2 linked regions of the Callithrix jacchus genome follow. Each later gene encodes a partner of the first gene's protein in a complex. Links are inferred from orthologs where the notes say so. Each region holds a gene or a part of one and is shown in the gene's direction. Other genes may lie near its edges. The genes, in order: ARID1A and SMARCA2.

Region 1 (7,164 bases):
CCTGAGCCTGTCTTCCAAATTGCATAAGGATGCAAACCTTTAAAATGCCATGATTATAATCAAACTTTTATAAAAACAGTGATAAATCAGTGGCAAAAGCGTATTATTTATAAGTTAGTTTGTGAAGACTCCCAGAAAGCAAAGATGAATCTTCAGCTTATCTAAAGGATTAGTAGGGTTTAGGTGGAAGGAGTGGCCAACCCAGTAGACTGGCCAGATGACATAGAGATGGGAGTCTGGATATTTCCCCCAAGGCCATCTCCAACCATGAAGACTTAGCTCACCCACTCTAGAAAGTATTCCTATGCACCTCTGCCCCATCTAGGTTGTCCCCCTCTGTGGCTCTCTAAACTCCTCTCTGGTATCATGGGTACCATATCAGCAGACATTTTAACCTATTGAACTTCCTTTGTGTATAGGGACTGGAAAATCCTTGTTCCCAGGCCTTGGGACAGGCTTACCATATGGTAAATGAATAAGCATAAGAATACATGAAGAAGAAGACCTGTCCAGCTAGAGCAGAAAGACTAATTGTAAGGAGCATCTAGGAAATGGGCTTGGTCAGTGTGCCCTGAAGCTGAGGGAAGGAGGCAAAACTGTAGGTTGGCTGCTGGGGAGGTACAAAAGTCATAAGGCGGCCCTGGGCGGGGTGCAGTGGCTCACACCTGTAATCCTAGCACTTTGGGAGGCCGAGATGGTTGAATCACCTGAGGTCAGGATTTAAGACCAGCCTGACCAACATGGCAAAACCCTGTCTCTACTAAAAATACAAAAATTAGTGGGGCGTGGTAAACCAGGCGCCTATAGTCCCACTACTTGGGAGGCTGAGGCAGGGGGATCACTTGAACCCAGGAGGCAGAGGTTGCAGTGAGCCAAAATGGCACCACTACACTCCAGCCTGGATGACAAAGTGAGACTCTTTAAATAAATAAATAAGGCGCTGAACATCTGGACAATTAGGACAGTGACTGATGAGGTAAAGGGACCTGTGGTTGTTTGTCACTGAGATATGTAGGAGAGCAGTGGCACAAGAATGTCAAATTTGCAGAGAGTGCCATGCCAAGAAAAAAAATCAGATGTGTAAATCCCCAGTTTGACAAAGCAAGTCAAGCAGGGTAGTCATTGATACTATCACAAGTCTCCATTTTATAAAATGTTAGTTTTTAGTAGTACATTTAAAATAGGATTTAGGGCCAGGTGCAGTGGCTCAAGCTTGTAATCCCAGCACTTTGAGAGTCTGAGGAGGGCAGATGACTTGAGGTGAGGAGGGCAGATCACTTGAGGCCAGGAGTTTGAGACCAGCCTGGCCAACATGGTGAAATGCTGTCTCTACTAAAAATACAAAAATTAGCCAGGTGTGGTGGTGCACTCCTGTAATCCCAGCTACTTGGGAGGCTGAGGTAAGAGTATCGCTTGAGCCCGGGAGGCAGAAATTGCAGCAAGTTAAGCTCGTGCCACTGCATTCCAGCCTAGGCGACAGAGCGAGATTTATTTTTTCTGTCTCAGAAAAAGTAGGGTTTAAATAGGCAGATGATTTGTACACCATTTTTCGGCAGTATACTAAAAAACTGGATTTAACACTTGTTGTGAACTATCCACCAAGCAAGATTAACTTTTGTAATTACCTAAGAACTGTGATTCTACAAAAATGAATTACCTTGCAGCCTGATAGGGCTTGTGGCTTATGGACAGGAAAACCAGGCAGGAGATATACCCCGACTCTTGTGGTTTGGTTATACAGGTCAACAAGAACAAAAAATGGCGGGAACTTGCAACAAACCTCAATGTGGGCACATCAAGCAGTGCTGCCAGCTCCTTGAAAAAGCAGTATATCCAGTGTCTCTATGCCTTTGAGTGCAAGATTGAACGGGGAGAAGATCCTCCCCCAGACATCTTTGCAGCTGCCGATTCCAAGAAGTCCCAGCCCAAGATCCAGCCTCCCTCTCCTGGTAAGGATGGGGTCAGCAGCCCCACTAAGGCTGAGAGGGCCTACTGCACCTGCCTCCAGCAGGATATGCCAAGGATCTGTGCTCTTGCCCTACCACAGGTCTTAACAGGTTGGCTGAATAGAGAGTGGGCAGTGGAAACTTCCCTGGGAGGTACTCTTCAGCAGCCCTTAAATTTTAATTTTTGTTGTGCACCTGGCAACTTGCCAAATGTTTGTAAACTGGTGAATGGGAGGGGCACAAGAAGAGTGGGGAAACTGACAAATGGCAGCAAAGCAGGGCCATCTGGAAGCTTTGGCCCATTGATGTCAGCACCTTAGAATGCAGCTCACACTAGAGCCCTGAATTCCCCAGGGAGCTGAGATAGTAATGAATGAGGAGGGAGTGGGGAAGGGATATGAATGGAACTCTCTGATGGGAGTGCCTCTGCCTACCCTCCATTCTGAGAGGAGGCTGAGACCTAGGGCGAGCCTGGGGAGGAAAGAAGGCCAGGGTGCCTGGAAGGTGGGTGTAAACACATGTGCCCTGGTGTTGACCTCTGAGGGTGTAATGAGTGCCTGAGATGACTCATCAGCTGGGGAGGCCTCAGCAGTGGGATATCTACTGCTGGGAATGGTAACTATTGGAAACATTAAATTACTAGTAGTTTTGTGCTTATCAGCTTAGAAGAACATTTGAACTTGAGGGATGACACTATGCTGGATGCTTTAGAACAGGAGCTCTCCTAGGCTCCTAAAATGCATCCCAGATTTGGATTCCACCCTACCCAGGATTTGGGAGGTTCTGACTGGAGCTCCTGCACCAGCATTACAGGATTTAATAGGTTAGACAAGGTCCTTGGAGAAGTGAAGAGAAATAGCCAGGGAAGCTGGCAGTGACTCAAGGAATCACCAGCATAGTGATGTCATGGCCGCATCACTTCTCTTCTCTACATGTAAAACAAAAAGAGCTACAAAACCCTCAAATTTCCTTCTTTATGACCTGGATATTGCAGATCTTCTGATAAGAATGGTGATCACGCTTGAAAGGCCTTAGGAAGAACTTTCTCAAAGAGATTCTGGGTCATTCATGTGTTTTTGTGAGAGTTAAACACTTCCATACCAAGCAAACTGCTCAACTTGCTTCTCTGTCCACAGCGGGATCAGGATCTATGCAGGGGCCCCAGACTCCTCAGTCAACCAGCAGTTCCATGGCAGAAGGAGGAGACTTAAAGCCACCAACTCCAGCATCCACACCACACAGTCAGATCCCTCCCTTGCCAGGCATGAGGTAAGGCCAAGAGCAGAGGTGGATGGTTGAGGGGATGGTTGGAGATAAGTGCATGGGAACTCCTTTGCAGCCCAAGGGTGGTCCCTGCCTCTGCCTTCTCAGCCAGTGACTCCTGCGTGTCCTGTGTTATATTGGAGGAATTGGTCTATCTGGGGTTTAATTGATTTTCCTCACTCTGGAGCAGGAGCAATTCGGTTGGGATCCAGGATGCCTTTAATGATGGAAGTGACTCCACATTCCAGAAGCGGAATTCCATGACTCCAAACCCTGGGTATCAGCCCAGTATGAATACCTCTGACATGATGGGGCGCATGTCCTATGAGCCAAATAAGGATCCTTATGGCAGCATGAGGAAAGGTGACTGATCTGATTGCTATTGAACTTGTACTCTTAAAGACAGGGCCAGTGAAATGGGGGAAAATCTTGAGTGATTCAGGGTTCTTGTGGAGCCAATCTCTGAGATAATGCATTTCCTGTCCTAACTACCCCTCTTCATCCCTACCTCCTTTGTCTCTTCCCTGGCCTCACCTTGACATCCCTTAACAAGTACATGCTTTTTGCTGGTTGGGGCATCTTTAGAACTCTGTTTTGAACTTGTCTGGAAAACAGTGAGATCAAACCTGAACTCTGAAAAGGGCCTGGGTCTTTGGAGCAGGCAAAGTGTAGATTACTAGGCTTGCCAACTTGCCAGTTTGTTCACTGCCTGCCTTTATACACTCAGCTCCAGGGAGTGATCCCTTCATGTCCTCAGGGCAGGGCCCCAACGGCGGGATGGGTGACCCCTACAGCCGTGCTGCCGGCCCTGGTCTTGGAAATGTGGCAATGGGACCACGACAGCACTATCCCTATGGAGGTCCTTATGACAGAGTGAGGTAAGCATGGCACCAGCTCCTATCCATCCCCCAGCACCCAGAGCTATAGTGGGCTCAATCCACCTCTCCAATTTTCTTTAGGACGGAGCCTGGAATAGGGCCTGAGGGAAACATGGGCACTGGGGCCCCACAACCGAATCTCATGCCTTCTAACCCAGACTCGGGGATGTATTCTCCTAGCCGCTACCCCCCACAGCAGCAGCAGCAGCAGCAACGGTGAGTAAAGCCTGCTCCCAGTGCTGCTGTGACTCAGACTTTGCCACTGCCCACCCTGATCATGTGTTTCTTTGCCTCCTGTAGACATGATTCCTATGGCAATCAGTTTTCCACCCAAGGCACCCCTTCTGGCAGCCCCTTCCCCAGCCAACAGACCACAATGTATCCACAGCAGCAGCAGGTGAGGAGGGTAGCTGGGAATGGACTAGCATGTAGATTCCCTTTGAAAGATAGTTACTAATGTGTTAAAGTCTAAGAAGCTCACTTTAAGTATTTTGGCATTCTTCTCTCACCTGACTGGCCATTTGGGCCCAAAGAGCCAAGTCCTCGATCTCTTCTGTTTGGAGCTGGAAAGGGCTAGAAATAGATCTTATTTTGATTTTTAGGTTTTATATATTTTTCTACTTAGAGCAAGGGAGGGGAAGAAAGAGTGGTGGTTGCTTTTGGAAACAACTTAAAAAGACAGTTTGTTAAGGTGATTCCTTTGTTTCCTTGGAGTCTGTGTCCACCATTCATTTGGTTGTAGCCATCTTGGCATCTGTGGGCTTTATGTCTCTGAGTGCAGAGCATTAACTTGTCCTCTGCTTCTCTCTGCCTTAGAATTACAAGCGGCCAATGGATGGCACATATGGCCCTCCTGCTAAGCGGCATGAAGGGGAGATGTACAGTGTGCCATACAGCACTGGGCAGGGGCAGCCTCAGCAGCAGCAGTTGCCCCCAGCCCAGCCCCAGCCTGCCAGCCAGCAACAAGCTGCCCAGCCTTCCCCTCAGCAAGATGTATACAACCAGTATGGCAATGCCTATCCTGCCACTGCCACTGCTGCTACTGAGCGCCGACCAGCAGGCGGCCCCCAGAACCAATTTCCATTCCAGTTTGGCCGAGACCGTGTCTCTGCACCCCCTGGCACCAGTGCCCAGCAAAACATGCCACCGCAAATGATGGGCGGCCCCATACAGGCATCAGCTGAGGTTGCTCAGCAAGGCACTATGTGGCAGGGGCGTAATGACATGACCTATAATTATGCCAACAGGCAGAGCACGGGCTCTGCCCCCCAGGGCCCCGCCTATCATGGCGTGAACCGAACAGATGAAATGCTGCACACAGATCAGAGGGCCAATCATGAAGGCCCATGGCCTTCGCATGGCACACGCCAGCCCCCATATGGTTCCTCTGCTCCCGTGCCCCCCATGACAAGGCCCCCTCCATCTAACTACCAGCCCCCACCAAGCATGCAGAATCACATTCCTCAGGTATCAAGCCCTGCTCCCCTGCCCCGGCCAATGGAGAACCGTACCTCTCCTAGCAAGTCTCCATTCCTGCACTCTGGGATGAAAATGCAGAAGGCAGGTCCCCCAGTGCCTGCCTCACACATAGCACCTGCCCCTGTGCAGCCCCCCATGATTCGGCGGGATATCACCTTCCCACCTGGCTCTGTTGAAGCCACACAGCCTGTGTTGAAGCAGAGGAGGCGGCTCACAATGAAAGACATTGGTAAGGAGACCTCCCTGATTGGGTTGCCTAATCTGCCCCTTTTTGTCTTGTCCATTGTTCCCTCCACCTTAATATTCTGGTCCAGTGTTGACAAAAATAGAACCAAAGAACTTTGGAAAAGGAAGAAATAAGCCAACTAAAGGTTTTCCTTCAAAACATTGCCATACAATGACGTCCTAGACAGATAGTTTAGAAGCCACGAGGGGCTGGTATGTGTCATCTCCCAGACAGGAACTGCCTTCCACTTTGTGTTAATCTTCAGAGTAGCCTGACTGATGGGGCAGCCCTGGGGGTGCCTTCAGCCAGCCTGGGCTTGGTGGATGGACGACATGGAGGTTTATTTCAGGAACCCCGGAGGCATGGCGGGTAATGATGTCCCTCAAGTCTGGTCTCCTGGCTGAGAGCACATGGGCATTAGATACCATTAACATCTTGCTATATGATGACAACAGCATCATGACCTTCAACCTCAGTCAGGTGAGTACCAGTGCTTCGGGAAGATTGAGAGCATTTGGGATCTTAGTGTAAACAATGGGAATGTGTCATCCTTAGCCACCTTGATATTTCTCTCTCGTAGGTATCTTCCGTGCCAGTACTTTGCTTCCTTTGCTTCTGGGCACAGGCCCAGGATCTTGAGAATAATGATAATTTGTTTTAGGTATCATTACGTTGATGCTTTAACAAAGGATTGACTTCAAAGGGAATTTGGGAGACACTTTGTAGTATTAGTAAGAAAGCAGATTCTATTGATGCCAGTGGGGACACCATATTTTCTAGAAGAATCTGGTGGGGTTTTTTTTGTTTTTTTTTTTTTAATCGAGATGAGGTCTCACTATGTTGCCCAGGCTCATGAACTCCTGAGTTGAAGTGATCCTCCCAAAGGGCTAGGATTATAGGCATGAGCCACCAGGCCCGGCCTGAATCTGTGGTCTTTTTATCAGTGAGCAGAGCATGTTTTTTCCATTTTCCCTTTCTTCTCTGAACAGAAGGGATCTTTGTTGATCCCTGTTTATTTAGATGTAGAATAGTTGGGGGGTTTGGTTGTTTAGCAATGTCTTTTGAAGCTGATTCTTCAAACCCACTCTCCATAGGATGTGCACACCAGCATAGGTGCTGGGAAGAGTTTATGCTGTGTCATCCTACTCTTTCTTTTGATCGTCTTTAGTACCTACCAACCTGTATATCAAGGAGCTGACTTATTAATAGTTACCAATTATTGTGCTCTTAATTTTGTGCCATGTCCTTAATATTTTATTTCATGTCATCCTAGCAACAGCCCTAGGAGACAGGAGATGTGGCCATTTAGAGATGAGTAAATAGGCTCAGAGTCTTACCCTTGTTGAGGTTAACATAGCTATCAGTAGAATCT
Region 2 (7,164 bases), on another chromosome or scaffold:
ACCGTGAGAGTTAATCATCCCAAGAAGATTACTGTAATAAACCATAATTACTTTCAGATAGTGAAATCCAGAAGAAAATTGTTAATTATCATATTGCAAGGTTTCTGATGAGAGTAATACAAATGACAAATACCGCACATTCTGTGTGCTGCTGACTGGCTCACTGTGGGCTGCTACTGTGCCGACTGCTCCTGCACAGCCAGGCGGTTACCCGGGTGCCCGGCCTGCCTGCTCCACTTTCCCAGTAGAAGTGGAGCCTTTTAGCAGAGCAGCGGGTTCTCTACTACCACAAAGTCACTGTCATTTCCATTTCTCTTTGCCTTCCCTCTGTCTTTGGTAGGAAAAGCTTTCTAAAAAAGATCTGAAAAGGGTCAAGATGTGTGCAGTTTACCCAAGACTTTCTCGTATATAATAGATCAGTCTATGAGAATGTGTGCTATACATTATTCAGTCACATGTCTGGTATCATTAAGCTATGAATAGTGAGAAAAAAATGCACATCTACGTCCATTGGATCATGCATATATCTTTTTCTTTCCTTTAGGGTACTCCTGCCATGCGTCGCTCCCTTGTCCCCCAGCTACGGAGTGGCAAATTCAATGTCCTCTTGACTACTTATGAGTATATTATAAAAGACAAGCACATTCTTGCAAAGGTATGTTTTAAAAAAACTATTTTGTCTTTAATATGGACCATCACACTGAAATGTGAAGTATTGCCCACATCAGTAGTATAATTGTCCCTTTCTTTATTTTTTCAGAGTTTCGTATATTTTGGTCATAGATTTGATTTCATGCATGCTGTGTGTGTGTGTGTGTGTGTGTGTGTGTGTGTGTGTGTGTGTATGATTGATCCTGGGGCAGCTCCTACGTATCCTTTCCTAGTTAATGAGTTTACATCTCTTTAAAAAAATTCATCTGGTTCCTTCTTCAACTCTTTCTCTCCAACAGCTTTGAACATGCTCTGGAAAGAAAGAATTGCTTTTGTTGCCCTGAGATATTGTCAGTAACTTCATTCCTCTTGTGCCTTTGTCTCTCCGAAGATGAGCCAGGCACCTCTCCATATGGTCTCTACCATATGAACATTTATCCAAGCCGTGGCTTTTGTGGTAGCATTGTTTCAGGTTTTTCCTGGTGAAATAATAGACTATCATTGTTGGAATTTCTCAAGGCTGTTTCTGTGACTATTTATTTGGAACTGAGAAAGAGGTGTTTCTGTGACTAATATGTCTCCTAATTTGAATGTCCTCAGTTGTCCTTTAGCCACAAAGTAGTAACTTTTCTCCTCATTTATATCATCTTGTCTTCTAATACGTTCGTGTAGAATGATGGAAAGTACCGTCTTTCATGGAACAAATAATGAAAACTCAATTTTTTTTCTCTAGTAATTTTTTTTACCCCATGGTGTTTTGAAAGCACTCTAATCTGAAACTAAGTTATGTCCAAAATTGAACAGAATCTCTATTTCTGGGGTCTGTTCTTTCTCTGCATTAAACTCTTGCTCTGGGAACTGAGAGTTCCCTTCATGGCATCATAGGAAATAACAAAAAGGAAATTTGCTCCCAGGGGAGGTTTAATAATTGAGATGGCACTGGCAACAGTGCTATGTTCCACCTCCTCACACTCAGAGAGGAATTTGGCAGTGTCAGAAATGATGTGTTTTCAATATTACTATGGGAATGTGTTTGTACATTTGGGATCCTTTTTAAAAAATTCGTATTGTGTCTTTTGCATATGTATTTCAAGATTCATTGGAGACGCCTGATAACGAGATGCACTGCTTTTGTTTGTTACCGGAGAAATGGAGCTAGGGAAAGGGGTAGTAATTTTTTCCAAGTGGAAGACCTAATTAGTAGTAGACCCAATAGAAAAATCAAAGGCCTCTGATTCCTTATTATTTTGTAAGCTAAATTAGGCAGGAAAGTAGATTTAGAAGATTTGTATATGTTTTGTCTGCTTGCCTCTTTTCATGCTATTGGTAAGTTTGAGGTAGTTGATTGTACAGCTTTAATTATCCTTAAACACTTTTCTTAGAGGTTGTGGAGGAAGGAAAAAAAAATGGGGTAGTTTTTTTTTTTTAAACCTGTACATCCCAGCCTGACTGATTTTATACCTTTTCCCCTGGCATATCTGCTGCTTCTAATGAGGAAGACAAGGACTGTATAGAATACTTTCCTCATCTCACTTCTCTCTCTAGGAGCTTTGCAGCAGGATCTGGGGACATCTGAGCACCAGATGTTTTTCTTGGCCATTGCCACTGTTTTGTAGAGAATGGATAGGCTTAGTGGAACATTCCTCATTGTTCTCACCTTAAAAAACTGACTCTTAAGAGGACTGAAGGGTAAGTTATGAGAGAGGAAGGGAACTGTGTAGACGGGAAGGAGGACTGGGCCATGTAAGCTTTCTAGATGTTTTAAGCGATAGTCACGTTGGGGAAGTTTGCTGTATTTAATTCTGCAGTTTTGGCATAAATAGAGGAATTATATTTTTGTATTGCCCTTTCTGCCAGTGAATAGATCCTTTTATTTTAGATAAAACAGGGGTCCTAGATCTGACAGGTAAGGAATGTGCATGGATTGAGGGAGTTTGGTTGTCAGAACTAATTTTTGAAAAGCTGTATGTATAGATTTTATGTGAAATAGTCCAACTTTTAAATGTTAGCAACCAGTCCAAACAAAACAAAACACACTTCTGAGCCAAGCCCTAAAGGTAGTAACCAGCCAGGCTAATAGAAAAGAAGGCATGGAGCCAAGAATATCTCAGTTATAGAACCTGCTAGGGCCATCTTGGAAAAATCGGTCATTAACTTCTGCTTCAAGTGGGTACCTGTATTCTGTGCCTGTTGTGAGCAGAGGTAGCATGACCATGAAATGTGGGATAGCTGTCATGATACAGTATTAATAGAAGGGGCGTTGGATGAGGAGATGCACAATCCACATGTAGGAACAAGCATATCATCCTGGGCCCAAATTTCCTTCTTTGTAAGAAGTTGATTTGGAATTACATGGTCGGTAAGGAACATTGTTGCTTCAACACTGTTATTACAGGATGTCTTATGTGGCCTATCAGGCATGGGACATTGTTGAGATTCTCTTGTCTTAAAGATAATCATAGCATATCATGTACCAAGGATGGGTTCTTTGGTTTTCCACACCACCACTTGCCTGTGGGAAATAGTTGTTATTTTCCCTTGCTTATCACATGTCCATCCTTTCTCTTGTGTTACAGATTCGGTGGAAATACATGATAGTGGATGAAGGCCACCGAATGAAGAATCACCACTGCAAGCTGACTCAGGTCTTGAACACTCACTACGTGGCCCCCAGAAGGATCCTCTTGACTGGGACCCCGCTGCAGAATAAACTCCCTGAACTCTGGGCCCTCCTCAACTTCCTCCTCCCCACAATTTTTAAGAGCTGCAGCACTTTCGAACAATGGTTTAATGCTCCATTTGCCATGACTGGTGAAAGGGTACTGGTCTGACTTTTGTTTTTTCCACTATTTTCCACTACATGACAATGAAATGAAATGAAAGGCCCTAAAGCTGAGAACATTACAGCCACAGAACACCTGCAGGGTGGTTGACAGTGTTGCATAGTTTATGAAACCCATCAATGGGTGGACGTGGTCTTCTGTCAGGGTTATTTTCCCCTCCTGGGAAAATGGGTCTAGTGGTACTGGGGGCATCTAACCCCTTTGTCTTTTGCCAGCATGTTTACCAGGCTACCAGAAAAGGGTCCTGACCGGTGGAATGCTTAACTGCAGTGGGTCACAGGGAGGGATGAACATGGAGATATTTTGCTGAATTAATTTAAGCAGACCAAATTAACCAACTAAATACAAGCTTTAAAACAAATCTTTCCTTGTTATAAGCTTGGAAGTTCCCTTTAAAATATTTCCACATAAAGAGTTTGTGTGTAAAACAGAACTAGTTTTCACTAATTTTCTGCAGACCTTTTTTCTATTTCTTTTTTTTAGGTTTTAGTGTGAGTTTCAGTTTTGTGTGTAAATAAAAAGTCTTCCTGGAGTAGCCATTTGTTTTCAAATTTCTTACCGTTCCTTCCACTGTCTTAAGAGCTCATTTGTGAAAGCAAGACATGGGCCATTGCAAGAAAAGAAATGGGCACATGTCATTTTCATAGAGGTTCCTCATTCGTAGGAATGAAAGGCCACTAAAAATGCTTTAGCAAAATTTTGGTTTGAATTGTTTGGCCCTTTAATTTTGAGGCACCTGGGCCCCCTGTCAATAGTTAACTCACTGGCTTGCCAATTTGTAGAAAGTAGTCTCAATCAACTCTGCCCCCTAGAGGTTAGTAGGAGAAGGTGAAAGAGAAAGCTGGGAAATCTATAAAAAGGACTAAAGTTGAACTAGAGAGGGCTGAGAAAAGGAAAGGAGTGAAGTTAGAGGGACTTACAGGGCCACCAACATAAACTGGATAGACTCTACTTTTGATCCTCTTCTTTATATGTTCAAACCTCTGTTCCTTTAGTATTTTTCTGTGACTGAAACAACCAAGATGAAGAGCCTAATTTAAGGCTGCCCCTTTAAATCGGAAACATATCAACTTATTGCCCCCCTTCTCTCATTCTGTCACCTTCATCATCAGTGATACCACATACAATGTGGGGCTGTTGACACCACTGATAGAAAACTGGTAGCTTCTGGGCTCTTTTCCACAGAACTCAGCATTAAGACAAAGACACCTATTTAGAGGTAATTTTATTACTGCTTGGTAGGCAGGTGGAAAGGTAATTCAGAGGTGGGTATAACAGACATAAACCTGGATTTAATGCATGTAAAATTTCAATCATGTATTGAAACACATAAATGTAACATAAAGCTTTATGGTATGAAATGTCCTTTTTTTTTTTATCCTTTTCTTAAAAAAATCAAATTTATATAAGCCTCTCTTATAGGTGGACTTAAATGAAGAAGAAACTATATTGATCATCAGACGTCTGCATAAGGTATTAAGACCATTTTTACTAAGGAGACTGAAGAAAGAAGTTGAATCCCAGCTTCCAGAAAAAGTATGTGGCACAATCAAAAGTTGTGAGGTTTTTTTTTCTCCAGCAAATACATTTGAAGTATCTGCCTCCGAAATTGTGTTTCTTAAACAGCAGGCTCATATTGTGGTTATAAGTGTCTTGAAAATATCTTAAAGTGCTTTTTTGTTTGGTAGGGCTAGAGAGAGAAGGGAAATTATAGCATTTTCAGCCTGTTTTACAAAAACTTGCGAGCCGATTTTATAAAATTATCAAATTCATTGAGTCTCATTTATGTTTTAATTTTAGATTTTTTTTTTTTAAGTTACTGACCTCATTGAGTTCACTGTTGCAGGCACTGTAGAATTGTTCTGCTTATAAGTGAAAGGAAGATTTGACTTTGGGACTTGTATCATCATTCAAGGGTGTGGTAAACATTTGCAGGTTTTCTAGAAATTTATTTAACATTTGATGTTTGTGATGTCACCATTCTGACAGTAAGTGCAAAAATAGAATTCCTGTAAATTACAGACACATCATGTAATTGTTCAGGGTCATTGGTTTTGTTCTGTGCCATAAAAATTAAGTTCCTGCGAACATTTTAAGCCAGTGTTTTTCAGACTGACTGTTGGAAACTTAGTTTGCAGTACTTTAGAACCCCTTTTGAGCCCTTAGCTCCATATTTTGGGGTTGGATTTGAGTATTAGTTTACTATGTTTCTGATCATGTTTTGGAACCATGCATATTTAAATTCTAAGTTTCATTCTCTTAAAGATAGTTTAGCACTGTATACTATTTGTTGCATGAGATATTTTGCTTTGAGTTTTTTCTTTGGAAGAGCCAATTCTGAAATGTCTTTTTTTTGCATGATTGTGGTTTTTCTGGGTAATGACTCTATTTTTGGACAGATTGGTTCATCCTGTTCATTTGTAAGTGGGAGTTGTCAAGATGGTGTACAAAGTTGATCACTTTGTTAAGAGAGATTTTTATTCCCTAATCCTTTATGCATTGACAGTCAGGAAAAAAATTAAAAATAAAAATGATTTTCATGCCATGCATATCTCAGTGAAAGTATAAGTATTTAAGTATTTCATTCTGCTGGTGAATGCATTTTGGATGTAGAATGTTGTTGATATTCCCTCTGATTTCCCGTGGTCTTGGCCTCTGGGTAGCACCTTTTCTGTTCATGATGGTGTTTAGTTACTGAGTAGATTAACTGGTGAATGAGCATAATGGTCATGTGGCTGCCTTGAATTACTTCCTAGCATACAGTTACAGTGATTCTGCAAGTGGTAGCGATGAAATGTTAAATCTTTTAATTTATCTCATAATTTTTTTTCTTTAGAAGAGGTATAAAAAATGAAGCCCTTCGTTTATTCATTCCGCAAAACTTCTTGATCTTGTTCATTCATTTCTAAGACTGGCTAATATAGATTTTAAAAAATATATTACAAGTTGAAAGTGTATTTTAAGAAAATCCACTAGATAAAAATTGAAATTTTTGCAGCGTTAGGATTATGAGGTGATTAATTATATCACAAAGGAATTCTTTGCTTTGCAAAAGTATTTATTTTTTGGTTCTTTCTACAAGAGAAATTCCTGAGTTTACTTGAAGGATGATAAACTTAAAAAAAGTATTTACCCTCAAATTGTCAAGAGTATGTCTCCTGCGTAAAATATACATGTACTCATTAACATCAATAGTATTATATTCGAGGTACGTAAAATACTCAGTGTGTGGTATTATCTATGGATACCTTTAGAAGTATCTATACCTTTAAAGGCAGCCATGTTATCTTTTCCTGGAGGAACTTGGTGAAGTGGAAATTATGGGCTCTGCCTGTTAGACTAGGCATGGGTTCTACCACATTCTCCATCTCTGACTATGAGAACTTGGGCAAGGCGTCTAATCCAAATTGATCTTATGTTCTCATCAGTGAACTGGAAGATAAATGACATCTGCCTTATGTTGTGAGGATTAAAGGGATGTAGAGCTCATAATACCTTGCCAGGCATGTAGTAGGCACCCAACCAGTGGCAGCTGCTTCTACCATATTCCTTATTTCCTACTGAGTTACTGTCGCCGTTATTAATGGGAGTTCCATTTTCCTATTCTTTAAGCTTTCTCACTGTTTTCTTGTCTTTGCTGTACTTCCTGTAGCCCTCCCACATTTCTGTC

Evidence for each region.
Region 2: ARID1A (region 1) and SMARCA2 share a complex: the UniProt entries of both Homo sapiens proteins name them as parts of the neuron-specific chromatin remodeling complex. The link is inferred for Callithrix jacchus from reciprocal best matches to the Homo sapiens genes ARID1A and SMARCA2.

Annotation. Positions count from the first base shown.
Region 1 is NC_133508.1:63,424,658-63,431,821, forward strand, and holds part of ARID1A (AT-rich interactive domain-containing protein 1A), read left to right. Parts: intron 1-1,741; coding exon 1,742-1,949; intron 1,950-3,082; coding exon 3,083-3,215; intron 3,216-3,396; coding exon 3,397-3,572; intron 3,573-3,936; coding exon 3,937-4,087; intron 4,088-4,168; coding exon 4,169-4,303; intron 4,304-4,387; coding exon 4,388-4,484; intron 4,485-4,903; coding exon 4,904-5,795; intron 5,796-6,141; coding exon 6,142-6,272; intron 6,273-7,164. UniProt on the Homo sapiens protein: Involved in transcriptional activation and repression of select genes by chromatin remodeling (alteration of DNA-nucleosome topology).
Region 2 is NC_133502.1:108,561,500-108,568,663, forward strand, and holds part of SMARCA2 (SWI/SNF-related matrix-associated actin-dependent regulator of chromatin subfamily A member 2), read left to right. Parts: intron 1-544; coding exon 545-655; intron 656-3,227; coding exon 3,228-3,470; intron 3,471-4,916; coding exon 4,917-5,030; intron 5,031-7,164. UniProt on the Homo sapiens protein: ATPase involved in transcriptional activation and repression of select genes by chromatin remodeling (alteration of DNA-nucleosome topology).